Macaca mulatta: one gene and its partners. The protein of the gene in region 4 interacts with the protein of the main gene of each other region in a pairwise test. Links are inferred from orthologs where the notes say so. Each region holds a gene or a part of one and is shown on either strand. Other genes may lie near its edges.

The links.
Region 1: the proteins of HOMEZ (region 4) and ELOA interact in binary tests that used the Homo sapiens proteins (3 or more experiments, as listed by UniProt). The two-hybrid records come from large-scale screens. The link is inferred for Macaca mulatta from reciprocal best matches to the Homo sapiens genes HOMEZ and ELOA.
Region 2: the proteins of HOMEZ (region 4) and RNF8 interact in binary tests that used the Homo sapiens proteins (3 or more experiments, as listed by UniProt). The two-hybrid records come from large-scale screens. The link is inferred for Macaca mulatta from reciprocal best matches to the Homo sapiens genes HOMEZ and RNF8.
Region 3: the proteins of HOMEZ (region 4) and SH3RF2 interact in a two-hybrid assay, tested with the Homo sapiens proteins (2 studies listed by BioGRID). The two-hybrid records come from large-scale screens. The link is inferred for Macaca mulatta from reciprocal best matches to the Homo sapiens genes HOMEZ and SH3RF2.
Region 5: the proteins of HOMEZ (region 4) and LRRC7 interact in a two-hybrid assay, tested with the Homo sapiens proteins (2 studies listed by BioGRID). The two-hybrid records come from large-scale screens. The link is inferred for Macaca mulatta from reciprocal best matches to the Homo sapiens genes HOMEZ and LRRC7.
Region 6: the proteins of HOMEZ (region 4) and SMYD1 interact in binary tests that used the Homo sapiens proteins (3 or more experiments, as listed by UniProt). The link is inferred for Macaca mulatta from reciprocal best matches to the Homo sapiens genes HOMEZ and SMYD1.
Region 7: the proteins of HOMEZ (region 4) and DEF6 interact in binary tests that used the Homo sapiens proteins (3 or more experiments, as listed by UniProt). The two-hybrid records come from large-scale screens. The link is inferred for Macaca mulatta from reciprocal best matches to the Homo sapiens genes HOMEZ and DEF6.

What each region holds. Positions count from the first base shown.
Region 1 is NC_133406.1:217,252,932-217,257,388, forward strand, and holds the start of ELOA (elongin-A), read right to left. Parts: upstream 2,968-4,457; 5' UTR 2,935-2,967; coding exon 2,860-2,934; intron 1-2,859. UniProt on the Homo sapiens protein: SIII, also known as elongin, is a general transcription elongation factor that increases the RNA polymerase II transcription elongation past template-encoded arresting sites.
Region 2 is NC_133409.1:144,861,291-144,865,088, reverse strand, and holds part of RNF8 (E3 ubiquitin-protein ligase RNF8), read left to right. Parts: intron 1-1,128; coding exon 1,129-1,218; exon of another isoform or gene 1,219-1,250; intron 1,251-3,423; coding exon 3,424-3,531; intron 3,532-3,798. UniProt on the Homo sapiens protein: E3 ubiquitin-protein ligase that plays a key role in DNA damage signaling via 2 distinct roles: by mediating the 'Lys-63'-linked ubiquitination of histones H2A and H2AX and promoting the recruitment of DNA repair proteins at double-strand breaks (DSBs) sites, and by catalyzing 'Lys-48'-linked ubiquitination to remove target proteins from DNA damage sites.
Region 3 is NC_133411.1:154,819,107-154,823,486, reverse strand, and holds the start of SH3RF2 (E3 ubiquitin-protein ligase SH3RF2), read right to left. Parts: upstream 2,937-4,380; 5' UTR 2,782-2,936; intron 1,691-2,781; exon of another isoform or gene 1,624-1,690; 5' UTR 1,518-1,623; coding exon 1,140-1,517; intron 1-1,139. UniProt on the Homo sapiens protein: Has E3 ubiquitin-protein ligase activity. Acts as an anti-apoptotic regulator of the JNK pathway by ubiquitinating and promoting the degradation of SH3RF1, a scaffold protein that is required for pro-apoptotic JNK activation.
Region 4 is NC_133412.1:96,375,949-96,379,746, forward strand, and holds part of HOMEZ (homeobox and leucine zipper protein Homez), read right to left. Parts: exon of another isoform or gene 2,791-3,798; intron 391-2,790; coding exon 1-390. UniProt on the Homo sapiens protein: May function as a transcriptional regulator.
Region 5 is NC_133406.1:170,595,771-170,599,568, forward strand, and holds part of LRRC7 (leucine-rich repeat-containing protein 7), read right to left. Parts: intron 3,086-3,798; coding exon 2,974-3,085; intron 2,763-2,973; coding exon 2,582-2,762; intron 1,462-2,581; coding exon 1-1,461.
Region 6 is NC_133418.1:26,091,473-26,095,808, forward strand, and holds the start of SMYD1 (histone-lysine N-methyltransferase SMYD1), read right to left. Parts: upstream 2,991-4,336; 5' UTR 2,881-2,990; coding exon 2,744-2,880; intron 1-2,743. UniProt on the Homo sapiens protein: Methylates histone H3 at 'Lys-4' (H3K4me), seems able to perform both mono-, di-, and trimethylation. Acts as a transcriptional repressor. Essential for cardiomyocyte differentiation and cardiac morphogenesis.
Region 7 is NC_133409.1:146,958,776-146,962,573, forward strand, and holds part of DEF6 (differentially expressed in FDCP 6 homolog), read right to left. Parts: intron 2,607-3,798; coding exon 2,498-2,606; intron 2,348-2,497; coding exon 2,049-2,347; intron 968-2,048; coding exon 801-967; intron 673-800; coding exon 474-672; intron 1-473.

The DNA of each region.
Region 1 (4,457 bases), on a different chromosome or scaffold from region 4:
AATTTTTGTATTTTTAGTAGGACAGGGTTTCATCATATTGGCCAGGCTGGTCTCGAACTCTTGACCTCACATGATCCGCCCGCCTTGGCCTCTCAAAGTGCTGTGATTACAAATGTGAGCCATGGCGCCCGGCCAACTCTGTGTGTGCAGTTTTTTTTCTTTTCTTTTTTTTTTTTTGAGACAGTTTTGCTCTTTTTGCCCATGCTGGAGTGCAATGGCGCAATCTCAGCTCGCTGCAACCTCTGCCTCCCGGGTTTGAGCGATTCTCCTGCCTCAGTCTCCCAAGTAGCTGGGATTACAGGCGCCTGCCGCCACACCCGGCTAATTTTCGTACTTTTAGTAGAGACAGGATTTCACCATGTTGGCCAGGCTGGTCTCACACTCCTGATCTCAGGTGATCCACCCACCTTGGCCTCCCAAAGTGCTGGGACTACAGGTGAGCCACTGCACTCGGCCTAAGGACAGGTAACTTTTCTTAGCCATGAACTATGAAACATAAAAACAGAAACCAAGTGGCCCTAGCCTGCTGATACCTTCTCCCTCAAGTGAGCCAAGATGATAGATGAAAAAGTGAAAACAGAGTTACAGCAATGTCTAATACTAGAAAATCCATGAACATACGTGTGGAATCAAACCCTTGGCTAATAATGGTTTGAAAGCAAGATCTGGTTGCAAATTCAACAGTGCTATATAATCATCTTGCAATTTCACATACAACCTGTAGGAGCTTGTTAGGTTACCAGAAGGTTGAAAGGAACAAGGCCAACATGCCAGCTTGCAGTTTTCCCTCTGCAGTTAACTCATTTCTCAATGTCGACTATTATGCCCTTTGCAAAAATGATCTCCCAACATTTTCTCATCTTCATAATGCTCACTTCACAATGCAAAGCTAGAAATTCAGGGTGATTTTTTATCTAGAAAAAGCCCAAATCCTCAAACAAACAAAATCATTAATAATTCAACTAGGTTAAGGTGGAATAAGCCTTTTCCTAATTTTATATTTCATGCAAATCAACCAATAGAAAAACTACTTCCAAATCTAAATTCTAGTTAAAAAAAAAAAAAAAAAGACTGTAGACACTCATAGAATATTTTTATCTGACAGAAATAAAGAACAAATGGGGCATTGCTTTAAGGTATCAAACGTCAGTCACAGATCTTACAGTGTTTAGGAAAACAAACTAGTACTAAAATAATGACCATTTATTAGACGTCCACAAGGCGTTACTGTAAAAAGAAACTTGTAAGCATGCCTGACCACTAGGTACGGTACTGAAGCTGCAACAGAAAACATGGCACAATGAAAGCATTTTAAATTTTCCCAGATTTGTAACTAAAATGGCTTCCTGAAGAAGTGAATCTTCGAGCTAGGTATGAACGAGAACCCTTAAAAAGTGGTCTGATGGTGAGAGGCTGTGTACGGCCTTTGGAATTGGAGAAACCTTACCTCCAATAGGCTAGAACAAGGTAAAGAGAAAGTGGCTCTTCAAGAAAAAAAAAAAAAAAAAACAAAAAAAAAACCCCGAAGAACGACGATTGGTATCTTCTGAGCACTGACTTTCAGCCTGGTACCTTAGCCTTTCAGGTTAGTCCTAGGAAGCAGCAGGTGAGGAAGAGGCTCCGCAAAGCAGTTCCCCCACGGCCCTAGCGCTCCCTCCACGACTTCCTCTTCCACCAGGACTGAGCTCCAACTCCAAGAACTGCCCGCCCGGGCCAGAATGATGACGGAGAATGCCAAACACGTAGTGCTTTCATCGTTGTATTTCCACTTAAAAAATCCTGACAGCCGAGTTCAACACCAGCCTGGCCAACCCAGTGAAATCCGTCTCTACTAAAAATACAAAAATTAGCCAGGCGTGGTGGCAGGCGCCTGTAATCCCACCTACTGGGGAGGCTAAGGCAGAGAACTGCTTGAACCCAGGAGGCGGAGGTTGCAGGGAGCCGAGATCGCGTCACTGCACACCAGCCTGGGCGACCAGAGCAAGACTGGTCTCAAAGAAAAAAAAAATACAACCACCAGACTGTCTCCTGGAGACCATGGAGAAGTGAGTGACAAGAACGCTTTTAACTTAATGTTCAGTTTGTACAATAAACAACAAAAACTAGTTAACTACAATTAAAAACAGTTGCCCATCATTCGAACAACGAGAAACGGTAGCTTTTACCTTCCTATTAATCGCCAAAAGGAAACCTAGCTGCGACTTCCAACCCCGGGCCCACGCCTCTTTTTCAATTCAAACCTAAGTTTTCAGGAGTACGCCTAGGTGACGTGAGGCTTTATTCTGTTTTGAAAGAGATTCACTGAGAAAGCGAAAGGTCCACGTTCTGATATCCAGCCGGAGAGTAGTAACCGCGTCTCCGAGAGGCGCGGACGACACCACGAGCCCAGGCTCCGCAGCGTTCGGGCGCCCGGTCTCCTCCTCCCGGCGAACACGCACCCGCTGGTGAGTCCGCGCCGCTCCGCGGGGAGCCGGACACCAGCGCAGGCACCGGGCGGCCAGCGAGGCGGTGGCCAGCGCCCTCCCGCCCCGGGCGCGCTCTCCCGCAGGAAACAGCTGGCTCGGGACGCCACGGGAGCGCCTCCGGGAGGAAGCGCTGGGCACGCGGTGTCCACACCGGGCGCGCCCCCGTCCCGGGCCCGTGAAGGAGGGGGAGCGGCCGGGGCCCGGCGTCCCGACGCCCGACGCACGGGGTCCCAGCGCGCGAGCAGCGGCCAATGGCCGCGAACTTCACGACCCCAGCCCCGCGGGGCCTGGCTCAGGGTCCCAGTCCCCGAACCCCGCCGCGCCCGGGCCGCGACCGTTACGGGGCCCGCACCGACCCAACGCCCACCCCGCTACGCGCCGCCCCCTCGCTCACCTTCTTAGGGTCCGGGTTCGCGACCAGGCGCGCCTGCAGCTTCTCCACAACTTGGAGCGCCGACTCCGCCGCCATCGCTGTCACTGGCGCGGCCTCCTCGCCGGAACTGGGCTCGCGTCGCGTCCTCGGGCCGCAGCTCCGCCCTCCGTGCATCCCCGGCGGAGACGGAAGCGCGCCTGGCCCCTTCCGGGCCTCGGCTGGGGTGTGCGGGGGGCGGCGGGCCGCAGGCTCCGCCCCCAGGGCCAGGTCCCCAGCGCCCACCCAGCGGCCGCGCACGCCTCGCGCCCCGGGCCCAGGTGTGCGCGCTGAGCGCTGGGGGCTGCTCGGACCGTGTGCGCCTCCGCCGCAGGCACCCCAGCTCCCGGTGCTCGCGTGCTGAGCCCAAGCCTGGAAGACCTCTCCAGGGTCTAGTTCAAGACGGAATGAGGCCAGCGTGCCAGACTCTGGCTTTATAAATCCTAACGCTTTCCCCCTCCCGGGGCCTAGCCACGCCCTAATGAACACCCTGTCAGGGGTCCCGGGCTGGTGCCCGCCCTAGGAGTCCTAAGGTACTCGCGGTAGCAGCCACCCTAGGCTGAGCATACGATGCGTCAGTAGTTAGACTATATTTTCCAGCCTCAGTACAACCTGATGAAACGAGTTGTATCATCTTCATTTTGCAGATGAGGAAACTGAGGTTCAAGGAGATCAAATTAACTTGCAGATGGCCGCAGAACAGGAAAGAACTGAAAATGGAACCTGAATCTAAGATATCTAGGACCACTGTGAGCGCACATTTCTGAACAGGTCCAGGAATTGAGGCCCAGAGAAAGGGATTCGTCAAGATCCAAACAGCTTAGTTCCTTCCATGAGGCAATAATAGCCCATGTGTCTTGTTTTCCCCACAGTGTCTGGCACATAGGCACCGAATAAATACTTCTTGAATGGACAGATAGATAGATGTTTCCTCTGATGACCTGCCAATGAGCCGTAGGGCTTGAATCAGAAGAGCCCAAGATACCATTCTTCAGGCCGCCTACTCTCATCCTAAAAGCACTAAGTTTTACCATTACTAATATTACCACTAAAAAGAGCAACTAAATAGTTGCAAACTGACTTAATCAAAGTACCAGCATTGATTAAATCTCATTTGATCAGATCAAAGTAGAACCTAATCAGATCTTCAGCAGCAAACTGGCAGTGCACCTAGCCTGATCTCTCCCTCAAAGCAGGAAAGCCCAGAAATTCTTCCAGATTCCAGCTCTGGAAGAAACAAAAACACCTTAAACACAAGTTGTTTCTTCAAATGAGCATCCATTCACTCACTATGCTGAAAAGCCCTCCCTACCATGTCCCCACTCCTCCATTTGGTGCCCCTCCCCCAGTTCCCTAAGCAACTGACCACCTTTTTAAGGTGTAAATGGTCAGTTTATTTATCTGTCTTGTCACTGGGCTGTTTATTTATCAAGTACAGTAACCGACCTGTCCAACTTTGAATCTCTGCCACCTAGCATCATCTAGACCTTATAATCAGCATTGGATATAAAGTCCATACAAGACTAATGACCATCCACTTGGTGCCTTAAGGCTCAACTGAGGGATGTAGTGGAAAAGGCATT
Region 2 (3,798 bases), on a different chromosome or scaffold from region 4:
TCCACCTCCTGGGCTCAAGTGATCCTCCCACTGCAGCCTCCTGAGTAACTGGAACCATAGGCACGTGCCAGCATTCCCGACAAATTTTTTGTGTTTTTGGTAGAGATGGAGTTTCACAATGTTGCCCAGGCTGGTCTCAAACTCCTGAGCTCAAGTGATCCACTCAGCATAGCCTCCCAAAGTGCTGGGATTACAGGTATTATGAGCCACCATGCCCGGCCGTATTTTCCCATTTTATAGATGAGAAGGTTAAAATGCACATCTCGAATTAGTGAGTCAAGTTGAAGACCCAGGCCTTCTGATATAACTGCTTTTTTTTTTTTGTCATGAGATCACACATTTTAAAATTTGGTTCTTGAATAATATCTTTTCAAAAATACTTACCTTTACTCCAGCTTCTTTTTTAAAAGAATTTGAGGTGAGATTCTAAAGTATAAGCTATACTTAAGCATGGGAGTGCTCATAAATTATGTTTCATGTATGTGGAACCTCTTGACATTCAGCATAGGCATTTAGCCACAGTGAATGAGCTGTTAGTTCCTGGGTGTGCCTTCTTCCAGAAGACACTGGCAGGGTTCAGGCAGCATTATCTTATGAGCATGTAGTGTGTGATTTGTAGAATAAATAGGTTAAAGATCTTTTTTATTTCAATAAAAATGACTATTTAATTCCGCTGATTCCCATTTCCTCCTGATTATTTCATAAAAGCAGCTTCCAGTTCTGAATAGCTTGTAATTACTTACTAGTTCTTAAATACTGTTCCCAGAATCACTTGGGTGGCTTAAAAAAAAAAAAAAAAGCACATTTCTGGGCTCCAAGCCAAACCTATAGAAGCAGACTCTGGGACGCATGAAAGTTCTTCAGTTGACATGGATGTCCACCAATGATGGGTTAGTTTTAGAGGCCCCAGTACATTTGGTGGCCTCCTTCCCTAACTGCCCTCTCCTCTGAAAAAAGCAGCAGGTGGGTAACATAGCCCAATGGAATAAAGGTATTATTTTGAAATTGCCATTTTATCGATCCCTGAACCAAAGTCACTAACTAGAGGAAGAGAACAGGCATGTTTGTGGCTAAAAGGAAGGATGCATTGTAGTTCATCCTGAGTATGTATCTGCTATGTTTTTGCAGCATTGGGCTCTAATGGAAGAGCTAAATCGCAGCAAGAAGGACTTTGAAGCAATCATTCAAGCCAAGAACAAAGAATTAGAGCAGACCAAGGTACTGGAAAGAAGATGGAAGTTTAGAATTTGGTTAGTGCATGCAACTCAGCATTTTCAACAGTGTAAGGGTTGCTATGGAGAATGAAGAGAGAAATCATGGCTGCTCCTTGCCTCTGGGGAAATAATCTATAAGATTATAGAGGTCTATAGAAGATTCTGCCTGTCAGACAACATCTATTTCCTTCCCTTGTTCAGAAGCAAAATGCTAGGAATAAGGCACTTGCATCCTGCATTCTAGTCCTTTGTCTATGGTGGGTACTCCTTCAGGGTGTGTCACTGATACAGACTGAGGAATATTGTAGTCAAGAAATAGTTCCTCCTGAACTATGTAATTTGAATTACATAAAGTAAAGTGAATTACTTAATGCAATTCCTTCCTGTGTCAAATCAGGAGAACTCTTGAATTAGGGGTTATAAACTTAAATGCCCACCAGGGCCAGACTGGTAATCTAAGTGAGTGAAGTGGCCTGAATGTGAGAACACAGTAGGGAGCTGTGTGGGCTATGGTTCATTGGATGGGGTATTTGCCCACACCCCCATCCCAGGAGGCAACTCTTCTCTGCTCAGCCAATTGTTGCCGTCCAGAAGTGCAGGCCCAGTGTTGTCAGATCTTCTGATTTTTCCACAGCAGATGAAAGTCCAAATGTTTAAGTGAAATATCCCAAAGTTTAAATATTGGCAACAACTTCAGCTTTTTGTGTGTGTTTTCTTTAATGTGAAGGCCAAATTAAACAAGTCTGCAGGGTGGATCCAGTCCACAGGCCACCAATTTGCAACCTCTGACCTGACATTAATACCTGAGTCTGACTGCATCTCTCATCCCACCCCCTCCATGTACAGACCTAGAGCTGAAGGAGGGACTTTAGTTGGTTTGATTTCCTGTTTAAATCACATAATACCTTCCTCTTCAACCTCCAAGAAACTACCACATCTTTTTAAACCCAGTGATTCCTAAGTTCTCAGGGAATTTGACTATAGTTAAGGGGGTCCAGACTTTCTTCACTGCCCTGAGCAGTCTGCCAGTCTGCTTTGAGTGGAAAAGAAAACAAAAAGATGAAAAATGAGCCGGCCACTCAAATATACCTCAAATGGCCTATCCTGTCCCCCTCAGGGGCTCTTAATGCTTTCTGTTTTGGGGGTGAAGTGCTAAAATAAATGTCTGCTTCAAGAGAGCATACCTAGGATCCTCCTTAAAAAGCGTGTTCACCCGCAGTCTGACCTCTTGGGGAAAGCCGAGGAGATGGTACTGCAGGCCTCTGCAGGCGTGGGAAGTGGCAGGTATCATAGAGCATGGAGCCTGAAGGTAATTCAAGAGGCCTTTCTCCAGCCTTCTGCCTCCAGAGGTGTGCCTTACTTTATAGAAAAGGCAGCTGCAAAGAACACTTTAACTTTATAACTAATTCAAGTTTCCTGCCTCTCTGGACTATTCATGCGTCTTTTCTTGTCCAGTGAGTTTTTCATTATTTGGGATGATCTTATGTAACGTCCGAACTACGGCTTGCTATAAACTACTTAATGTCCCATCTGGTCTTGGGTGGTTGGTGTGGTTAGTATACCACCTGCATTTTTCTCATTTGACTAATTTTGGGGAAGGAGACAGAAACTGCAATGCAAATACTGAAAAAGTGGTGTTTTAGTCCATTCAGGCTACTACAAAAAAGACCCATAAACTGCATAGCTTACAAACAACAGAAATTTATTTCTCACAGTACTGGAGGTTGGGAAATCCAAGATCAAGATACTGGCATATTTGGTGTCTGGTGAGGGCTATCTTCTGTTTCATAGATAGAGTCTTGCTGTGTCCCTACATGGTAGAAGGGGCACATGAGCTCTCCTTGGGCCCCTTTTATAAAGGCCACTAACCCGATTTATGAGCATGGAGCCCTCATGACCTAGTCACCTCCCAAAGGCCCCACCTCTTAATACCATCACATTTGAAAATAAGTGTCAACATGGGAATTTGGGAGGAAGCACAAACATTCACACCATAGCAAGTAGGGAGAGGAAAGAAAGAAGGTTAGTGCTCTGCATTAGAAAACAATTATTAACAATAACCCTTAGGGAAAGTGTTCTTAATGTTGCTATACCAGAATGAATCATTCATTAAGACTGAATCCTCTTCTAAATAATTAACCCTGCTCCCTGTCCCCTTTTGCATTTTTGTTGGTTATCTGAATGACAGGTAGGATTGTGTGTCTTGCAGGAAGAGAAGGAGAAGGTGCAAGCACAGAAGGAAGAAGTTCTCAGCCACATGAATGATGTGCTAGAGAATGAGCTCCAATGTATTATTTGTTCAGAATACTTCATTGAGGTAATGAAGTTGCTCACCCCTTCTTTTTTTTTTTTTTTTTTTTTTTTTTTTTGAGAGAGTCTTACTCTGTCACCCAGGCTGGAGTGCAGTGCTGCGATCTTGGCTCACTGCAACCCCCACTTCCCGGGCTCAAGCAGTTCTTGTGCCTCAGCCTCCTGAGTAGCTGGGATTACAGGCACATGCCACCACGCCTGGCTAAATTTTAGTATTTTTAGTAGACATGGGGTTTTGCCATGTTGGCCAGGCTGGTCTCGAATTCCTGACCTC
Region 3 (4,380 bases), on a different chromosome or scaffold from region 4:
GAAAGTTGTTCCAAATGCATATCACAAGCCACTCCTCACTCCTGAGTAAGGAAGCAGTCCTGCAAGACCCTCCCACACACTGTTTGTCTTCTGAGCAGGGAGATGTAGGACCCTGCTGCCAGCATTTAGACTCTAACGCTTGCTCTAGGTAAGACTTCAAGGAATGCAGCTTTGATTTTCTAAGTATGCCAATGGCCCAAGCCACAGCTTTCCGTGTCCACTTTGTTACACTGACTCCAGGGGTGACAGTGCAAATAATTCTGCTGGACTCACAAGGACCATGTCCTTCTTTCCAGATGTGCCCTTACACATTATCCCACAACAAGACTCATAGCCAGGTCAGATGAAGTCCTCGGGGTGTGCTTTCAGTGCTGGACAGAGCGATTCCCATTATCCAAACATGAAAAGCATTAATCTCCTGCGAGGCTTAACTGGGTCTGTTTGGTTTTTTAATTGCAGCGCCTGCTGTGTATCTTCTGTGTATTTCATTCATTTTGCAAAATGAGACACATCTGCAGAGCTTCTATACACAGCTGATGTACTTCACAGCCCAGCCTTCGCTATCAATCAGTCCACCCACATAGACGCTTCCCTCCCGCACTATCTCCCTCGTCAAGTATCTTGATAGCTTCGAACAGATTATGAATGAGTATTGCCATAATAGCACTTTATGACTAGGGGTGGGAAGATGGATTTGGGTAAAATTCAAAAAAAACTTGACATTTGGAAATTTCCAAGAGATCTCAAAAGCAACAAGCAGTTGGATTTGTTTTCTCTTTTTTTTCCCCACCCTCCGTGCATTTCCCAGGCACTGGTTTGGCCTCAGAAGAGCAGAAATCAAACACCAAAAATATAATCTAAAAGGCTTTCCTTGTTCTACTACTTTCTGGACAAGAGGAAAGGAGAACCTAGGAAGCTTTAGTAGTTCTAAAGAGAATTCTTAGATAGATTAGGTAGGCTCAGGCTTCCATCGTATTTGAGTAAAATGATCACTGCCCACAGAAACGTATCACTGGGGAATCACCAGCAGCACTCTGGAATGTTAAACTTGTAGTTAAAAGAAGATAATCTCTAGCTCCTTGTATACACAAATCCAACCTCCATGTGGGCATGATATTAACAAATAAGATCTCTCTTACCCCATCCATGTGGATTCTGATATTAGGCACTAGCCGGAAAGGACTGGCCTGCAGACGTCTGGGGTTGGTCCTGTTTTTCCTGCCATCCTGCAAGGTCATCATGCCGGGCCTGCGGAAGGAGCCTCCTCTCCCGGAGCTCTGCCCTGAGCGCACTCCATCGAGAAGGCGCACGAGCAGCAGGTTGGCCGGCAGCGCCTCGATGCTGCAAAACACAGGCGTCCTGCATTCGGGGCACCGCAGCTCTTTGTGGGCCTTGAAAACCCTCTGTAGACATGGTTTGCAGAAGGTGTGCTGGCAAGGGAGGACTTTGGCTGTGACATCGAGCTTCTCAAAGCACACAGGGCACTCCAGAAGATCAAGTAATGTCAAATCATCCATTTTATTTCAAAACTCCAGTTCCCACCTGGAGGAGCAGAGTCCACATGATAAGGTCAGTTGAGCAACGGGGGCAGAGCTGGCCTCTTGAGAACGTCAGAATTCTTGCCTGCTTGAAGGAGGGAGAGGAGAGAAAAAAAATGTGACTGCTCCGAGAGGTATATCCCACCTACATCGAGGCAGTGTCTCATAAGGCAGTTTGCAAGTACTTTGTTCCGGCACCCAAGTTTCAAGTGACTCATTCTGATTCAATGCTAGCAGGTATAAGACTCAACTCGTGCTTGCTGTGAGGATCAGAGGAGCACTGAGCACAAGACTGACTGTTCATTGCCTATGTGGCCAGGAGAGCAGAGAAATAAACTGGCCTGCTGAAGTGGCTCCCCAAGCCCTCTCTACCAGCCAGGGCCGGGAAGAGTTCCTTCACCCCTGCCTGGGGAAAGCTCCTGACAGTCTCAATTCTTACAACAAAGCCCCCTCCGAACGCAAGTTCTGTGAAGTTACCTCCTCCTCCTCCTTCCCCTAAATCTAAGTGTATCTGTTATCTGCATGACATGCAGATTAGTTTAGGTCGGTACGTTTATCTGAATCTCATGCAGATGTAGAATTATTTCCTTTACAATATACCTTCCCACATGATGCTAGCAATGAAAAATTTCCATTAGAAACCCATTTCCAAAAATTGTTTTGCCTTAACTACAAGTCAGGGTGCTTGGAAGCTCTGTTTCTTTTCTTTTTTCATCTTTGGTTCTTTTTTTTTTTTTTCTCCTCATTCTGATTACCTTAGGCTCAGAGACAATATTCCTCCCACGAGGTAAAGTAGTGCAGCCTGTTTAGTTACTTTGACATTGTTCTCAGTTTCAAACGAAGCAGATAGGAATTCCGGATTGTGGTCACAACCTGTAAAAACCGTACTGGGGCAGCATATACAGGTAGGGGTCGTGTGTGTGTGTGTATGTGTGTATGCATGTGTGTGTGTGTGTGGTCTGAAAACAGTACGTATTCCAGAAACAAGTTTCCTTTTGGATGTATGAAAAGAAGCCTCCAGTTTAGAAAAGTGTGGGAAGAAGTCAGCTGTCCCTCACAAGTGCCAGGGCTTCAGTGAGTACTGAGCCCAGAGGTTTGGCAAGAAGGCCAGTGGCTCCACTAGCGACTAGTCAGCAGGACAGATACGACGCGAGAATGAGCGATGGCGCCTCGCCTTTCTAAGACTCCTCTCCAAAGATGTCAGCGCGGCGGCGGGCTGGGGAGGCGTGTGGGGGCCACTAACCTTGTGCGTGTAACCTCTGCTGAGTTCAGCTCAGCCCCCTCCTCCGCGCAGCAGGGGTGCGCGGCTCCCTCCAACCGGCTTCCATTCCCCCAAGCGCCGCTGCTGCCACCGCTTTGAAAACTTTAACCACTCAGTCTTACTCATTTCAAGGGATCGCCTTACCCAGCCCTGTTAACGCTTTCACCGCCAGGCTGCTGCCTACCAACCACGCTTTTGTTGTTGCGGTTGTTAACTTTATGATCTTTCCTTTAGTTAACTGAATTGTTTCTGGGAAAAGATGGTAAGAGGTAAAATATCAGCCAGTCCCTAAGGCCAAGTATTTACAAAGTTCCTATTTTCACCTTTCCCGGTTTCTCTAGTATCCAAGGAGTCGGAACCTGCTCCATTATAAACATACCAAAGTGATTGTGTTTATTTTAAACCTTCATAAGGATTTCCTGGGAAGGTCAAAAGTAAAAATGGTCAAGCTATGAAAATAAGGATAAGCCAGACACCTAGAAAATGTTGCTCTTTGAAAATCATAGTCAATCTCTACATTTAGAGATAAGAGGGACTTTAGTGATCTTTTTGCTCAATCTGTTTCCATTAAGAAACTAGTGTCACATATATACACATACGTGAAAAATCAAAGCACAGAGAAGCTTTTTCAAAAAAGGAAAAACAGTGGCCTCCAAGCTCTCTTCCTGCCTGTTATCCACTGTAGTCTTTTCATATCCTCAGATTATGCCTATATTTCTATTTTTTGATTTATCAATAATACATTTCATGTAAAACTACAAAGGTATCCATTTAAGTGAATAATAACGATCTTAATGCCAGGGTAGTCCTTATCTGTGTCAACCACTGTTCTAAATACCTTACCTATATTAGCCTTTTAACCCTTTAACAACCCAAGGATACACTAAATTATTCTTTACTTTCATTTTGCGGATGAGGGAACTTGAGACACAGAGAGGGTAAATAACTCATCCCGGGAGTCACAGCTCCACCACAGAAGGCAAGTGATCTGTGCTCTTAACAATGTCATGGAGTGATATAACTTTAAGAGGCTGGCCGGGTGCGGTGGCTCACTCCTGTGATCCCAACACTTTGGGAGGCCGGACGTGGGCAGATCACGAGGTCAGGAGATCGAGACCATCCTGGCCAACATGGTGAAACCCCGTTTCTACTAAAAATACAAAAATTAGCTGGGCGTGGTGGCACGCGCCTGTAGTCCCAGCTACTCAGGAGGCTGAGGCAGGAGAATCACTTGAACCTGGGAGGCGGAGGCTGCAGTGAGCCGAGATCATGCCACTGCACTCCAGCCAGGGCAACAACAACAACAACAACAACAAAAAGAGGTGAAGAGGTGGTTCAAGGGAGCTAAGCCTCCTCTAAGAGGGCAAGAGGTCAAAAGATAATGGCCAATACTGGCTTCTCATTTTTTCTTACAGATGAGGCAGCTGTGCCCAGAAAGATCAAGAGATTCTTTGAAGTTGTCCAGTGAGTTAGGGGCAGAATTGGGACTAGAAACTAGGTGTTTGAGGCCAGGTGCGGTGACTCACGCCTGTAATCCCAGCACTTTGGAAGGCTGAGGTGGTGCAGATTGCTTGAGGTCAG
Region 4 (3,798 bases):
GATGAGTAAAAGAGAGAAGGGATTTGAAATGGAGTTGGTCCCGACGGTAGACTACTCGGGCTCGAGTTTCTTCTATTTCTTCAGATGACCAGCTAATACCACAGCGGAGGCGCTGGGCCATAAACCAAGTCTTGACTTTCTCCATCTGCAACCCATAACGTAGGCAGAGAAGGGCAATGTCTGCTAGGCTGGGATAGGGAAAGTAGCTGAAGGTTTTTAGCAGGTGTTCATTGCTGTCTAGCTCACTGGTCTGGGCTGCTTGGGTCCACACAAGCTGTAGCTCCTCAGAGATTGGAGGGAGGCAGATGAGCCCCGCTGGTGAACTACTGAGACCGCTGGCCTCTTTATTAGGAGGCATGGTGCTTTCTGATTTGTGCCCTTCAGAGATAGCTGTAATAAGAAAAGAAACAGCTCAATCACTGGGTCTCCTCTTCTGACACATTGCTCAATTTCTACCAAACTAACTGCTGGACACCAAAACAATTAAGTTTCTATTTGCATCATGTTGTATTGCTTTTTAAGTGCTTCAACAGTTTCTTATTTAATTTTCATAAACAAGTCATCAGACCCTGCTTTAATTCTGATTTTCTGTGGACTAAAGTCCATAGATGTTAAATTACCCCAAGTCACATGACTGGTGAGTGTTGTTCCAAGAAAAAAATCTGTCTTTAAAGCCAGTCATGGTGGCTCATACCTGTAATCCCAGCACTTCAGGAGGCCTAGGTGAGAGGGATTGCTTGAGCCCAGGGGTTTGATACCAGCTTGGGCAACATGGTGAGACTACAAAAAATTTAAAAATCAGCTGGGCATGGTGGTTCGTGCCTGTAGTCCCAACAACTTGGGAGGCTGAGGCAGGAGGACTGCTTGAGCCTGGGAGGTCGAGGCTGCAGTGAGCTATGCTTGCACCACTGCACTCCAGCCTGGGTGATAGAGTGAGACCCTATCTAAAACAAACAAAAAAAGGCCGGGTACGGTGGCTTATGCCTGTAATCCCAGCACTTTGGGAGGCCAAGGCGGGAGGATCACAAGGTCAGGAGATCGAGACCATCCTGCCCAACATGGTGAAACCCCGTCTCTACTAAAAATACAAAAATTAGCTGGGCATGGCGGTGAGTGCCTGTAATCCCAGCTACTCAGGAGGCTGAGGCAGGAGAATCATCTGAATCCAGGAGGCGGAGGTTGCAGTAAGCCGAGATCAGTGCCATTGCACTCCAGCCTGGGTCACAGGGTAAGACTCCGTCTCAAAAAAAAAAAAAAAAAAAAAAAAATCTGTCTTTAGAGGTTAAGAAGGAAAACTGATCCTGATACAGTTTTTTTTAGTGTGTGTGTGTGTGTGTGTTTGTGTGTGTGTGTGTGTGTGTGTGTGTTTGAGACTGAGTCTCGCTCTGTTGCCAGGCTGGAGTGCAGTGGCACGATCTTGGCTCACTGCAACCTCCACTCCCGGGTTCAAGCAATTCTCTGCCTCAGCCTTCCGAGTAGCTGGGATTACAGGTGCCCACCACCACGCCTGGCTACTTTTTGTATTTTTAGTAGAGATGGGGTTTCACCATCTTGGCCAGGCTGGTCTTGAACTCCTGACCTCGTGATCCACCTGCCTCTGGCCTCCCAAAGTGCTAGGATTACAGGTATGAGTCACCACAGCCAGCTGGTGGGGTTTTGTTTTTTTTTTAAGAGATAATATTGCTCTGTCACCCAGGCCACCCAGGCTGGAGTGCAGTGGCACCATCATAGCTCTGATACAGCCTTCATCTTTCCTATTCAAACCCACTTCTAGAAGCTATCCACCAACTCTCACCTTCTAAATTCATGGAACAAGAATCACACAGTGAAGACTCAACCACAAAAACAAGAGGAGCAATAATTTCAACTTGTTTGTGTGTGTGTGTACATTTTTGTTTTTGTTTTTTCAAGAGACAGGGTCTCACTCTGTTGCATAGGCTGGAGTGTGGTGGCGTGATCATGGCTCATTGCAGCTTTGAACTCTTAGGCTCAAGCAATCCTCCCACCTCAGCCTCCCAAGTAGCTAGGACTACAGGTATATGCAGCCATATCTGGCTAATCTTAAAATTTTTTGTAGACAGGGTCTCACTATGTTGCCTAGGCTGGTCTCAAACTCCTAGCCTCAAGTGATCCTCCCACCTCAGCCTCCCAAAGTGCTGAGATTACTGGAGTGAGCCACTGCACCTGGCCCTGAGAACTGTTTTTTTTTTTGTTTTATTTTGTTTTGTTTTTTTGAGCAGGGAGGGTCTCGCTCTGTTGCCTAGACTGGAGTGCAGTGACATGATCTCAGCTCACTGCAGCCTCTGCCTCCTGGGTTCAAGTGATTCTTGTGCCTCAACTTCCCGAGTAGCTGGGACTACAGGTGTGCGCCACCATGCCCTATTACATTTTGTATTTTTAGTAGAGATGAGGTTTCACCATGTTAACCAGGATGGTCTCGAACTCCTGACCTCAAGTGATCCACTGGCCTCAGCCTCCCAAAGTGCTGGGATTACAGGCCTGAGCCACGGCCCCTGGCCAGAACTGTTAATAACTTTTTTTTTTTTTTTTTTTTTTTGAGACAGAGTCTTTTGTCACCCAGGCTGGTGTGCAGTGGCGCGATCTTGGCTCATTGCAACCTCCACCTCCTGAGTTCAAGCAATTCTCCTGCCTCAGCCTCCCAAGTAGCTGGAATTACAAGCGTGCACCATGATGCCCAGCTAATTTTTGTATTTTTAGTAGAGACGAGGTTTCACTATTGTTATAAATAAGGTTTCGGTGCCACAAAAGAAATAGCAATCGAATATAAAATTTTCTTTTTTTTTTTCTTCTCAGCAGGGCAATTTACTTCTATAGAAGGGTGCGCCCTCACAGATGGAGTAATGGTGAGCACACACCTGGACAAGGGAGGAGAAGGGGTTCTTACCCCTGACACATGTGGCCCCTGCTGCTGTCATTCCCCTATTGGCTAGGGTTAGACCGCACAGACTAAACTAATTCCGATTGGCTAATTTAAAGAGAGTGACCGGGTGAGTGGTTTGGTTATGGCAGAGCAGGAAATCGGAATGAGTCAGGGTGGAGAATGAGTCAGGGTGGAGAATGAGTCAGGGTGGAGCAGGTAATCGGAATGAGGCAGGGTGGAGCAGGTAATCAGAATGAGTCAGGATGGGGCAGGTAATCGGAATGAGTCAGGGTGGAGCAGGTAATCGGAATGAGTCAGGGTGGAGCAGGTAATCGAAATGAGTTAGGGTGGAGCAGGCAATCAGAATGGGTCAGGGTGGAACAGGTGATCGAAAAAGGTTGCTTTACAAGGAAGTTAAGTTTAAAAGTAGAAGGCAGAGAATTGAACATACTGATATATTGATTCTTTGAAGAGAAATTTAGAACTCCTATCTAATGCTCTGTTGGCCAGGCTGGTCTCGAACTCCTGACCTCAGGTGATTCACCTGCCTTGGCCTCCTAAAGTGCTGGGATTACAGGCATGAGCCACCGCGCCCAGCCACTATTTTTTTTTTTTAGAGACAAGGTCTCGTTATGTTGCCCAGGCTGGTGTGCTATGCATAGGTGCAATGATAATGCACTATAGCCTCGAATTCCTGGGATCAAGTGACCCTCCTGCCTCAGCCTCCTGAGTAGTTGGAGCTACAGGTGCACACTATTGTCCCTGGCTTGTTACTAACTCTTTGGCTGCTAACAATTTATAATTATATTTAGAATGTGGAGCAATAGATTGGGAATACAACTGATGAATATCTGGAAGGTAGGACAGCACTGTCCTCTGCCCAGCCCCCCTTTTTTCTTTCCCTTCTTGGTGGTGGA
Region 5 (3,798 bases), on a different chromosome or scaffold from region 4:
GCACCATAACTCTCTGTACTGTAGCTTCTCGCAGACAATGGCCTCCTTTGGGTAAGGTTTTTAACCGGAAAACTTCCCGCCTGAGCTTTCACTTCTTGATATGAAGGGTGTTCATCTTCATACCTGCCATTCCTTTTCAGGAACTGGGACTCAGTCACTGTAACGCTGCTTTGGCGATCCAGCCCTCCCCTATATGGAGGTCTGCCATACCTATCAGTTGCGGGCAGCTCGTGAGGCTCATTGACCCTTCTAAACATGGCCATTTCTGTGGCGCTCACCAGGGAGTCGGCCCTTCTCAGGAAGCCTGCCCTGGCCCCTTGACTTGCGAACTGGGCATTCACCACAGCATCCTCATTCACAGATGGCTGAGAAAATGAAAACATTTGCTCCATTGGTGGGTATCCTCTGTAAGCTCTAGGACTAATCAAATCCTTGGTGATGTTTTTGCTGGCCTGTTGCATGTACTCGGGATTGTGTTGAAAAGGGGGTGGTATCCTCTTTTCGGCTTTCACTTCCACTGATCCTTGAGGATTGAAGCTTTGGTCAAACTGATAGACTTTTTTTGTCATAGAAGCTTTTTGTTGTTGTGGCCCTTTACTACTTCCGTAGGTGAGCATCTCGTCATCCAGCATCGGGACTGACTGGCTTCGAGACATACTGGACATACCATGCTCTGGTCCCAGCATCTTATCTGGTCGTTCGTGGCTTCCTAAGTGATCACTCCCAGAAGCATAGTTTTCTAATGGTATGTTATACACCTTATATGTACCAATGTCAATCTCATCGATACTCTGTGACTTTTTGAATTTATTAGACTTGATATCTTTCATTAGAGGGGAAAGCCTCTCTGTGCTTTTGCTAATTGAAATAACACCTTTAGAAGAGTCTGGGCGGCAGTGGATTTGAGAAAAGACATTACTAAGACTCCTGTTGGGATTGGAATCATGATACTCCCATGGTACGCCTGGAGAAAAAGGACTAGGTATTTCAGTAGATTCCTTTATATGTTCTTTCCTTTCAGGCAATGGGCTGGTAGTAGGGGTTGTCTCTAATTTGGAAGGAAAAGCGGTCCTGTCTTCAAATGGACTAGGGGTTCTGGTCCAATTCTGCCAAGGATTGGAAGGAGGCACTTCTGTTTCTGGTGTGTGTCTGTGTGTAGACTGCTCAAGTTCCAGGGGAACACCAACAATCCTGTCTTGCCTGATCAAAGGCCTGCGTCCATGCGAAGATGTGCTTCTAGATTTCGAACTTAAGAGAGGATTACTGTTGGCATTCTCAGCTGCGGTTTCCTCAGCAACAAACCCTGTGTTGTCATAATGTGAGCCATCAGTCCAGTTGTCAGTGAAAGTATCACTCATGGGCAGCCGGTCAGGACGCTGTGGTATACTGCCTGGGGGAACAGCCTCCCGCTGGCTGAGTAATGGCTTTGAATCAAGAGGCTGTGGGAAAGATGGTGCAATCCTGTGAACACAATGGGAAGAAGAAATTGAAAAGGACGAAGAGTTGGGTCTAATTAGAATCATGATTCCTGATATCCATTCCTGGAGATTCTGATTTGGTACATTTCGAACTATTGGCTGAGAGTACCTTTCTTACAAATGCTTGGTGTATGTAATGAATCTAAATTGTCTTCGGATAACTTTTACTTGAAGGTCAGGTTTTGAAGACACTAAATGTTACTATATAGAGAGCATATTCAGGTATGTTTTTGTAGAATGTAAATTATATTATGACTTTAGATCCCTGACATGTTTATATCATTGACCATGTTATTTCTAGCAGATACTGAAATAATGCAGATAATGAATTTACAGACTGAAAGCGTTAAGATTTTTATTATGAGCATCAATGAATAGGAAAAGTTACTCATGAATTACTAAAGAAGACGTTGCCAATAGTGGCAATATTTTCAGTAAAATATGAGTAAAAGTTATTGACTACCTATATCATATAACAATTTTAATTTGCTATTTGTAGTATAAAACATAGCAACAAGTTACAAAATGGAATTAGAACTGGAAAACACTGCCTTATTGAGTCACTTTATTGTGCTCTGTGTGTGGTTTTTGTTTTTTCATCTGTAAAGTTAGAGTAATATAGAAGAGGAGGCATTTTGGAAAGATTAAGTACTTTAAAATACATCCTAACTTTTCCAGGTGGTGATAAAATTATTATGATGATGATAGCAATGAAAATTTATTGAACACTTACTCTGGACCAAACACATAAGTGTTTTACTGGCATTTTATTTTAATTCATTATGCCATTTTGTATGGTAAAACATCCATGTCTCATCAATAAGTATCAGTGGGCTAACATTTTTTTTTATTTTTAAAATTTTTTGTTCTACCATCTCATCCTGTTAACTCCTACCATGTCTTCCTTAAACAATGGCCTCTCCCTGTAAGATGGATTCATCTGTTCTTGGCAGTCCCAGGCGAACAACATTTGCTTACCTGCCCCTTCTGTCTTCTGTGCCACTTGTGTGCTGAATACAATTCCAAAATTAAGAAGATTCCATTTTTTAAAAAGTTGCTGAAAATAAACGTTTGGGAACAAAAGGAGGGAATTCTAAACACACCTGTTACCCCACAAAGAATTATGTACTGCATCTTTAGCTGTTGTCTGCAAGGACCCCACTTTAACCCGGGTATTAGAGGATCCTGAGGAAGCCTGGGAAGGCGAGTAGTCTGAGTAAGTGCCTGAGGAAACACTGTTATTCAGACAGTGAGTTTTGTCAACTTCAGACTCATCAGTTGATTCTGAAATTTAAAGGGGAAAATGTTATAATGCTATGACACTGACAATTACACGGAAAAGCAAGTATGAAAAATGGAAACCATACCGATTAAGGTTAGAAATGCATATTTGTAAAACATTTGTATAGACTATGGTGTATCATAATTTACAACTGGCGATTCATCATGCACATGCATTTGTAGCATATTTTCCACATTGGGTTCACAATGTTACCTTTTTTGTCCTTCCCTAGCAGAACAAGTTTGGGTGGGTACAGAGGGGTCTCAGCTAATGAAGGGTGAAGTTCCCCAATCCTCATTTCATTAGCTGGATGAACAAAAGAATCCTGAGAGATATAATAATACAGGACAAGGAAAGTAAACATTTAAACAATGGTTAACCGAAGTGGCAGTATGTTTATTTGGCTCAGATTCAAAAATGTGACTCTAGAATTCAGTTCACTGTGGGGCACTGGGAGAAATAAACCATATGTATCTCTGAGTTAAGCATTAAAAATTTTTTTTCTAACGTAAGTGAGTCCATTTATTCATCCTTTTTTTTTTGCATGTTGTTTATATGCCTGGCACTGTGCAATGAACTGTGGAGGTTCCAAAGAAAGACAAAATGTCGCTGGTACCCTCTGGGAGTTTATAATCTAGTTGGAGAGATGAGATATAAGTCATTAGAACACCAGACTGAATTATGATAAGCCATTAATGAGCAGTATGATTCACACAAATATGACATATATGCATGTAATTGTTCTAAGTGGTGAACTCTCTTAAGAGTTTTAAGAGGAAAGTATGTCACTGACTAATTAAGATTTTGTGTGTGTGTGCATCCCTAGCCACATTAATTCACTGTCGGGTCCTATAAATCCTGCTCTTCCCACCACTTTCCTCCTCACTTTCTACTGTATCCCAAGTGATCATCTCCTCAATTTCTCAAGTTCTATCATGTCTTCTTCCAAAGGTTCCTGGTTTTCTCACACCTAATCTAGCGTGCTAAATCTTCATTCTATACCCCTTCTTTGAGTGTAACGAGCAATATCGATACACG
Region 6 (4,336 bases), on a different chromosome or scaffold from region 4:
TCTTGAACTCCTGACTTCAGGTGATCTGCCTGCCTGGGTCTCCCAAAGTGTGGGATTACAGGCATGAGCCACCACACCCGGCCAAAACTATTATTTAAAAGGCAGTAGAATATACAACACAAAACCTAGGATAATTACCTTTGGAGCAGGCATGGGACAGGATAGAGAAGATGTAACATATTGGAATATTCTAGTTAAGTTGGTTTGGTGTTGATCTATTGCTATGCTTTGTATAATATATGTTAGAATATATACAATATAATAGATAATATATATGTTAGAATATATAATACACAGTTTGAAAGAATTAATTTTCATTTAATGCAGTGCTCAATTAAAAATATAATCTTTCTCCACATTTCTGTGGAAGACTAGGAAAGCCTGTCTTGCCATAACATGGATTAGAATAAGCCAGTTTTATACAGTGACTTTTGTGGGTGATGAGTTCCACCTCTGCAATGAAGTTTCTCATCTACGGTGGCTGAGCCTCACCAGGAGCCTAAAGTGCATAAAACTTTCCTTTAATGCCTCTTTGGACTGTCTCTGGTATAACCAAAGAAAGCATAGCTCCCTCATCTGTGCAGTGACAAGTTTGGGTAAAGCATTTTTTGAAAAAAACTATCTCTTTTAGATTTTTTTTTCAATCATTTTAAAGGTCATTTATACCATTTATCCCACTTGTATTACTACTGTAAAAAAATATATGATTTTATGTAGTATTTATCCTCAATGTACATGAAGTGTTTTTATAGTTGTTACTTCAAATCAATGACAAATTATTTATAATAACAAAAACATGGAAACAATCCAAATGGTCAGTCATCAGCAGGTAATAGAACATGTAGCTCTCAAGTACTGTCTCTGAAGAGTGTATAATAGCACAGAAGACGTCAAAATTATTAAATGAAAAAGCATAATAGCTTCTATAATGAGTATATTACAGCCAAATGAAACCTATGTTTTAAAACAAACCAAAAATAGATACCCAACATGTTAAGAGTGGTTATCGTTGTGTGATATCTTACCTTTCTAAATTTTCTGAAATGACAATGCCTTGCTTTTATAATGGAATGAAAGCCCATTCAACTTTAACCTTCTTGAAATGGAACTGATTGGCTAGATTGACTTTGGGGAATTGGAGGCAGCAAATGGAGATGTTCTTCACAAGGCCAGGCAGTAACTCACTGGCAGCACCAGGATTAGTGTTGACAGTCCCTGTGTTTCTGGGTTGTGTTTTCACTCTGAATTCAGCTGACTCCCTAACTGTACTCACCCCTCCCCTGACACACACACATACACACACACACACAATTAATGAAATAAGACAAGCTCCCCCTGAAAAAGTCACCTCAGCCCCATATATTCCTCAGGTGGTGGTAAGCCATATGCCCCAGTTCACACCCTTTTCCCTGAAGGTCTTAGTGGGCAGGAAGACAAGAGAATGTGAATACTAATAAAGTTATCTCTGAGAAGCAGTGCCCTTTCCCAGGGTGGTCAGTGCAGCCAGCCAACCACAAAGCCTGGGTTATCAGACTCAAACCACATAGATGTCAAGCAGGTCACCCCAACCTTGATCTCAGAAAATATTGGCACTTTAATGTCATCACCATGTAAATTTGTTTAAAATTAAGATTTATTACTAATTTAAAAGCTTGGTAGTCTAGGGTGGCCAAGGTAGTGAAGAAGAGGGAATGTACATTTAACAGAGCCTGTTTGAAGAGCCTATAAAACTGAAAACATCACATCCTATGGCCCAGCAATTCCTCTTCTAGTCCTATGGCCTAGAGAACAATCGCACATATGTACAGGTAGACACGATCGAGGATTTTCATTTTTTTATGAAAAATTAAAAACCACCAATTGTCTCTCAATAGGTGAGAGACATGGATAAATAAAATGTCATATATTTATAGGATGAAATATTTAAAATTAAGATTGGTGATTCATATAGCATATGAATCTATATGTATAGCTCTATAAAGGAAAGAGATCTTTGGAATTTAAAAGAAGTATCTATAGATTTATAGTTCCTGCAAGGATAGACATCAAAAACATGTTGTTTAGGGAAAAGAGCAAGTTCTAAAACGACATCTGAAGTATGACACCATTTATGTAAAAAAAAAGAAAGAAAGAAAAGCAAACTACAGCCATCCATTTTGATAAATGCTGATATATACATGTAATAGCACAGGAACATTCTAGAAGGAAATACAATGAAATAATAGCAAAGGTAATATCTGAGGAAAGACAGAGGGGACTGGGATTGGATGATACTTTGATTTTTCAAGGATAAGTGGATTCCTGTGTTATTCATAATTATTAATATACAAACAGTTTATTATTTTTTTAAGTCTCAGCAATTACTTTATCTGGTAATATATTTATAATAAAAAAAAAGCTAAAAATATAGAGCTTTCTGTCGGAAATTGTTTCCCACAGCACCACACCCACCTTTCCACTCCCAGCACACCCTCTCAGCCAAGTTGCCCAATGTTGGGAGAAAGTGCCCCTGAAGCCTTTGCTCACCTTCACCATCCTTCTAGGAGCCACAGCAAATCACACTGGCAACGACCCCTTGCAGAAAAATTTATGCCAGAAAAGTTAGCTCTCAGAAGTGTCATTTTGTTCAAAAAAGAGCACATGAATTTTATCCCTTCCCCTGATGATTTTTGAGAGCAAAGTATTTTAGAGTTTGGCACCAGCCAAACCAACAGGAGAGAAGGCAACTCCCCACATTTCATACCTGTCAAAAACCACTGCGGAATAAGCCCGCTCAGCAAAGATGACATCTGCAGCCCAGAACTCCTTGGTGGCCTTCAGACCCCTGCCTTTGCCCTCAGCAGTGAAGACCTCCACATTCTCCATTCTCCCTATTGTCATCTCAGAGTCTGTCAGGCCAGCGCAGCAGATATTTAACACTGAGCCAAGTCTCTTGTCATTGCTATTTCAGCACCTTCAGCATCCCAAAGAGCAAGACTATAAATGGACAAGCCACCTCCCCTTCCCTGCCCGCTCTCAGCCACTGGGCCCTCACCTCCCCCTCTGCTACTTTTTCTGGAGGTGGGAATGGGACAGGCACGAGAACAAGTGAACTGGGAAGGGTTTCATTCATCACCCAGCAAAGCTAACAGAAGAGAAAATGACCATGGCTTAATATGGTTCTGGGATAGGACCTGAAAAGTTTTGAGAGGTTCCATTGCAAGCAGAAGCTCTGTATATGCTAAGTTCTGAACTGCAACAATCCTGTTCGGCTTTAGTTGGAGTAGGGAGCATTTGGTCAGGAGTGTATTTTTAGCAGCCAGATGCCTCTGTCAATCAAAAGCAGACAACTGGAGTAGTCCAAGAGAAACAAGGTGATATTTGCTGCTCTGGGACCCTTCAGCTGTCAGGCTTGCACTTTCTCAAGTGAGGTGGGCCCCTCGCCCCACCCTTTTCAGTCTCTCTCCCAAGGGTGGACTGTTTTCAGGAAGCAGCAGAAGCTAAACTGAGGGCTGGGCACGGTTGCTCATGCCTGTAATCCCCACCTTGGGAGCCTGAGGCAGGTGGATCACCTGAGGTCAGGAGTTCAAGACCAGCCTGACCAACATGGTGAAACCCCGTCTCTACTAAATATACAAAAATTAGCTGGGCGTGGTAGCAGGTGCCTGTAATCCCAGCTACTTGGGAGGCTGAGGCAGGAGAATTGCTGGAACCCAGGAGGCAGAGGTTGCAGTGAGCCGAGATTGCGGCATTGCACCCTAGCCTGGGCGACAGAGTGAGACTCCATCTCAAAAAAAAAAAGAAGAAGAAGCTAAACTGAGCCCTTGGCATATACGTAACAGTACTATTTAGGCTCCAAGGGGGCATTTTTCCTCTTCAGTGTCACCTAGGTCTCCCACAGCACCCCTACTCCACAGCTGTTCTTAGCACTGCTGGTGATGCTGGTATGCTGGAGGCAGGCTGGATACAGAGAAGGCAGGCTTTAAAAATAGCAACCCCCATCTCTATCTTTCTATCAAATTTCCTTTAACATGTGTCTGCTGCCAGGAAAATACCAACGTGCTCTGTCCTTCTTCTTACTCAGGAGTGAGGACACTGGAAAGACGAATCTAAAATCCCCATTGAACTAAATGCCACTGTTCTTGGCTATCAGGCAGCTCTCACTGAGGTTTAAAAGAAAGACACTTGCAGATCTGGAGCTCTGGCTTGACTTCCATGTAAGATTTTTAGTTCCTCGGATGCATCTACTTCCCGGGGGGGGCAGTGGGCGGGGGCATTTCCTGGATCTTTCTGAGTGTATGGTTTCGGAGTCAGATGAATCTGGGTTTGAATTCTGAGCCTGCTACTACCACTTGAG
Region 7 (3,798 bases), on a different chromosome or scaffold from region 4:
AGAACCTCTGTTCAACATTTCACGGAGCCATTAGCAGTGGTTGTGAGGTCGGGGGGATCATGGAGGAACTTTCCCTTTCTATGTTACATATTTCTGTGTTTGAATTTATGGAGATTCAGGCTCCAAGGAGTAGAACCAAAGTACAAGGATAGCAAGACAGGGGCTTGGAAGGGTAGAAGGAAAAATTTTTGCCCAGATTAATAATAATGTGAACAAAGATAGCAGCAAATGTTTCTTCAGCACTTACTACATACTAAATATCGTGTATCATCTCATTTAATCTTCATAACAACGCTATTACCAGTTTCCTTTCCCAGGCGAGAGACTAACTCCAAGAAGTTTGGGAATTTGTCCAAAGTCGCACAGCTAGCGGCTGCTAGGGCCAGGGTTTCAGGGAAGGCAGCCTGGCTCCACAGTCTGTGCCCTAATGAGCTTACCCTGCCAGCCTCACCCCATCCCACTCCAGGCCTCACCTCTACATCCTCGTCGGCCCTCTGCCGGTTCTGCCGCACCTCCTCCAGCTGCTGCTGGGCCTGCTGCAGGGAGCGGCTCTGCTGTGCCATCTCCTGCTGCAGCTCTTCCTTCTCCTGCTGCGCCCGTTCGATGTAGCGCTCCTGCTCCTCCTTCAGCTGCATCAGCTGCTTCAGCTTCTCTTCCTCCTCTTCCAGCAGTCTGCCGGGCGAGTGTGTACTGTGTGGTCTCTAGTGCCAAGGCACCTTGCAGGTGCGCGGCAAGCAGGAAAATTGGGGTGGGTTCCACGAGGGGTGGTGGGAGAACCTGAAGAAGTTCCTCAGGCCTACCTGGTCTGAGCGAGTCGCACAGATTCCTCATCTCGCCGAGCTTTCACCTCTAGTTGCAGGGCCTCCTGCAACCGCTGCTGCATCTCCTCCAGCTCCTTGATGCGCTGCCGCTGCCGGGCAGCCTCCTCCTCCTTCAGCTCCATCTCAGCCTGCATGGAGGCCCGGGCCTGTGGAGTGGGGAGGTGGTGGACCCAGAGCCAGGTCAAAAGGGGCACGTGGGGGCAGGGGAGGAGGGGGTGGGCATGTTGCCCTTCTTTCCCCAGGACTCTGCTAAGCTGCCTAGGGGTAACAGTCTGGGGAACGCCTTCATGTTGGGGTTTCCTGATCTGACCCCTTTCTGAGAGCCTGACTGGAACAGATAATGGTCAGTGAACAGATGCCACTTGGGGGAAACGGGCTAAAGGTATTCCCTTTCTAGTACCAACCTTAATCATAATTATATAATATGTAATTAAACAACATTATATAATTAAATAAGATACAAAAATATAGTCATCTCCTTCCTAGCACTAGCTTAATAATTATTATAATATATAACAATATGTTATAATCATGGCTGCTGCTAGGAAGGAGGTGACTATAACCCAATTATAACAACGAAAAGTTACTGGACACTACTACAAGTGTTTCCTCATTTAACCCTCACCGTACCTCTGTGAGCAAAGTTCTATTAGCATTAGCATTTTACAGATAAGGCTCAGTAAAATGAGCCTGCCTGGCATCACGGGGCTCGTAAGAAGCAGAGCTAAGATTGAATCTACATGTTTCTGACTCCAGATCCAGGTTTCTTAAATCCTAAATCTAATTGCCTCTGCACGCTTAGTCCGCCTCCATACACGTCCCGCTTGCCTCTCAAACTGGTTTCACTGTAAACTCAGTTCAAGTCTAGTCCAAACTTGGTCCAATCTAATCCCCAATCACACGGTCTTCAACGGCTCCTTCTGCCCAAGCCCCAACCCACAGCCAAGGTCTCCAAACCAGGCCCATCCATCCACCGGCTTGGACCTCGCCCCACACCCCTTCCTTAGCCTCAGGCCCTGCCCCCGGCGGAAGCTCCATCCCAAATCTCTTTCAAACCCGCGGACTCTGTCCCAACAATCCCTCTTTCCAAGTCCCACCCCAGTGCGCGCCCCTCAACCCAGGAGCTCCGCCCTCTGCCCAGGCCCCGCCCCTGGCGCTCCCCCGCTGGCCCGCCCCGCAGCCTCCCAGCCCGCCGGTCCAGTCCCCCGCGCCAGGAGCGAACCCCACCTGCTCCGCCTCGCGCAGTTGGCCCTCGAGCGCCTGCTGCAGCTCGCGGTGCTGGCTGCGGCGCCGCTCCTCCTCCTCCTGCAGCAGCCGCTCCGCCTGCCGCTGCGCCTCCTGCAGCAGCTCCAGCTCCTGCAGCTTCCGCTCCTTCTCCTCCTGCAGTTGCTGCAGCCGCAGCAGCTCCTCCTCCTTGGCCGCCCGGCGCCGCTCCCGCTGCTCCCGCTGCTCGCGCCGTTTCTGCTTCAGGTCCTTATGTAGGGACTTCTTCCCCTCGGCCTGCAGCCGGATCGCCATCTGGATGGCTGCCGAGGAGCGGGAGCGGGTCAGTCGGATCCTCGCACACGGCCCGAGTCCACTCTCCAACCTCCCGCTGGACAAAGTATTATCACCCCCTTTTCCCAGATGAGGCGCCTAAGGACCAGCCAGACCCAAGCCACCTAGCGAGCACTCACCAGCTGTCCACTCCTGGCGCTGGCGCGTGTCTGAGGCGCTCATCTCATACGTGCGGGTGGCTGTCTTCACACAGAACATGCAGCGCTTTCCGTCGCGGTCTGGCAGCACCTGGGACAGGGTAGGTGGCAGCCAGGCTAGCCTCACTGGGTCAGGGCCACACCTGCCCCAAGGATGCTCCAGCTCAAGCCCCTAGCCCTCCTGGCTATCTTCCCTGGGGACCCCATCTGCCAGGAGCCTGCATGGCTTGCATCGTAAGTTATGGGGGACTTATGTCCCCACAACTCTGTAGCCTTTGCTCTTTGAAGGCTAGGTGGGTGCGTTTTCATCTTGTTATTATTTCACGGGGCCCAGTACATAGTCGCCACTCAGTGTTCATGCAGATCACGCTTGAACACTGCCAGTAACAGGGTCCTCACTATCCATGACAACGCACTTTGACATAGCCCTGCTTGTTAAGAGTTAATTCATTCATTCTGCAGATATTTTTGGAGTGCCTACTGAGTGCCACTCACTGCTCCAGGGGTTGGGATACTAAGGTGTGCCTAACAGACCAAATCTCTGCCTCCACTAAGCTTACATTCTGTGGAAAATAATAGCTACCACATTCTAGAGTCTGTACTAACATTTTATATGCATCATTATCTTCACTCCACCTATACAGCCTAGCCAGGCAGGCATTATTAGCTCCACTTTACAGAGGAAGAAACTGAGGCACTAAGAGCTCCAGGATTGTCCACCTCACACTGTTAGTCTGTTAGTGATGAGGCTGGGACTTCTGCGTAGATCTGCATTCCTTTACACAGTAACACCTTATGTGACAAAATTAGACGGATCCTAGGATGGCTATGATAATTTTTTTAAATGAAAAACAACTGTTGGTAAGGAAATGGAGAAATTGGGATCCTCACACACCATTAGGGATATCATCCAGCCTTAAAAAGGAATGAAATTCTGATATATTTGACAACATAGATGAAGCCTGAAAACATTTCTAAGTGAAAGAAACCAGATACAAAGGGACAAATATGGTATGATTCTATTTATGTAAGATACCTAGAAAAGGCAAATTCATGGAGACAGCAGAATAGAGGTTACTAGGAGCTGGGGTCAGGGAGTATGAGGAGTTACTGCTTGGTGGGTACAGAGTTTCTGTTTGGGGTGATGAAAAAGTTTTGGAAATAGATAGTGGTGATGGTTGTACAATATTGTGAGTGTAGATCATTCCCCATGATCAGATGGGATTCATCCCAGGAATGCAAGGATGGTTCAACATGCACAAATCAATATGCATGACACATCA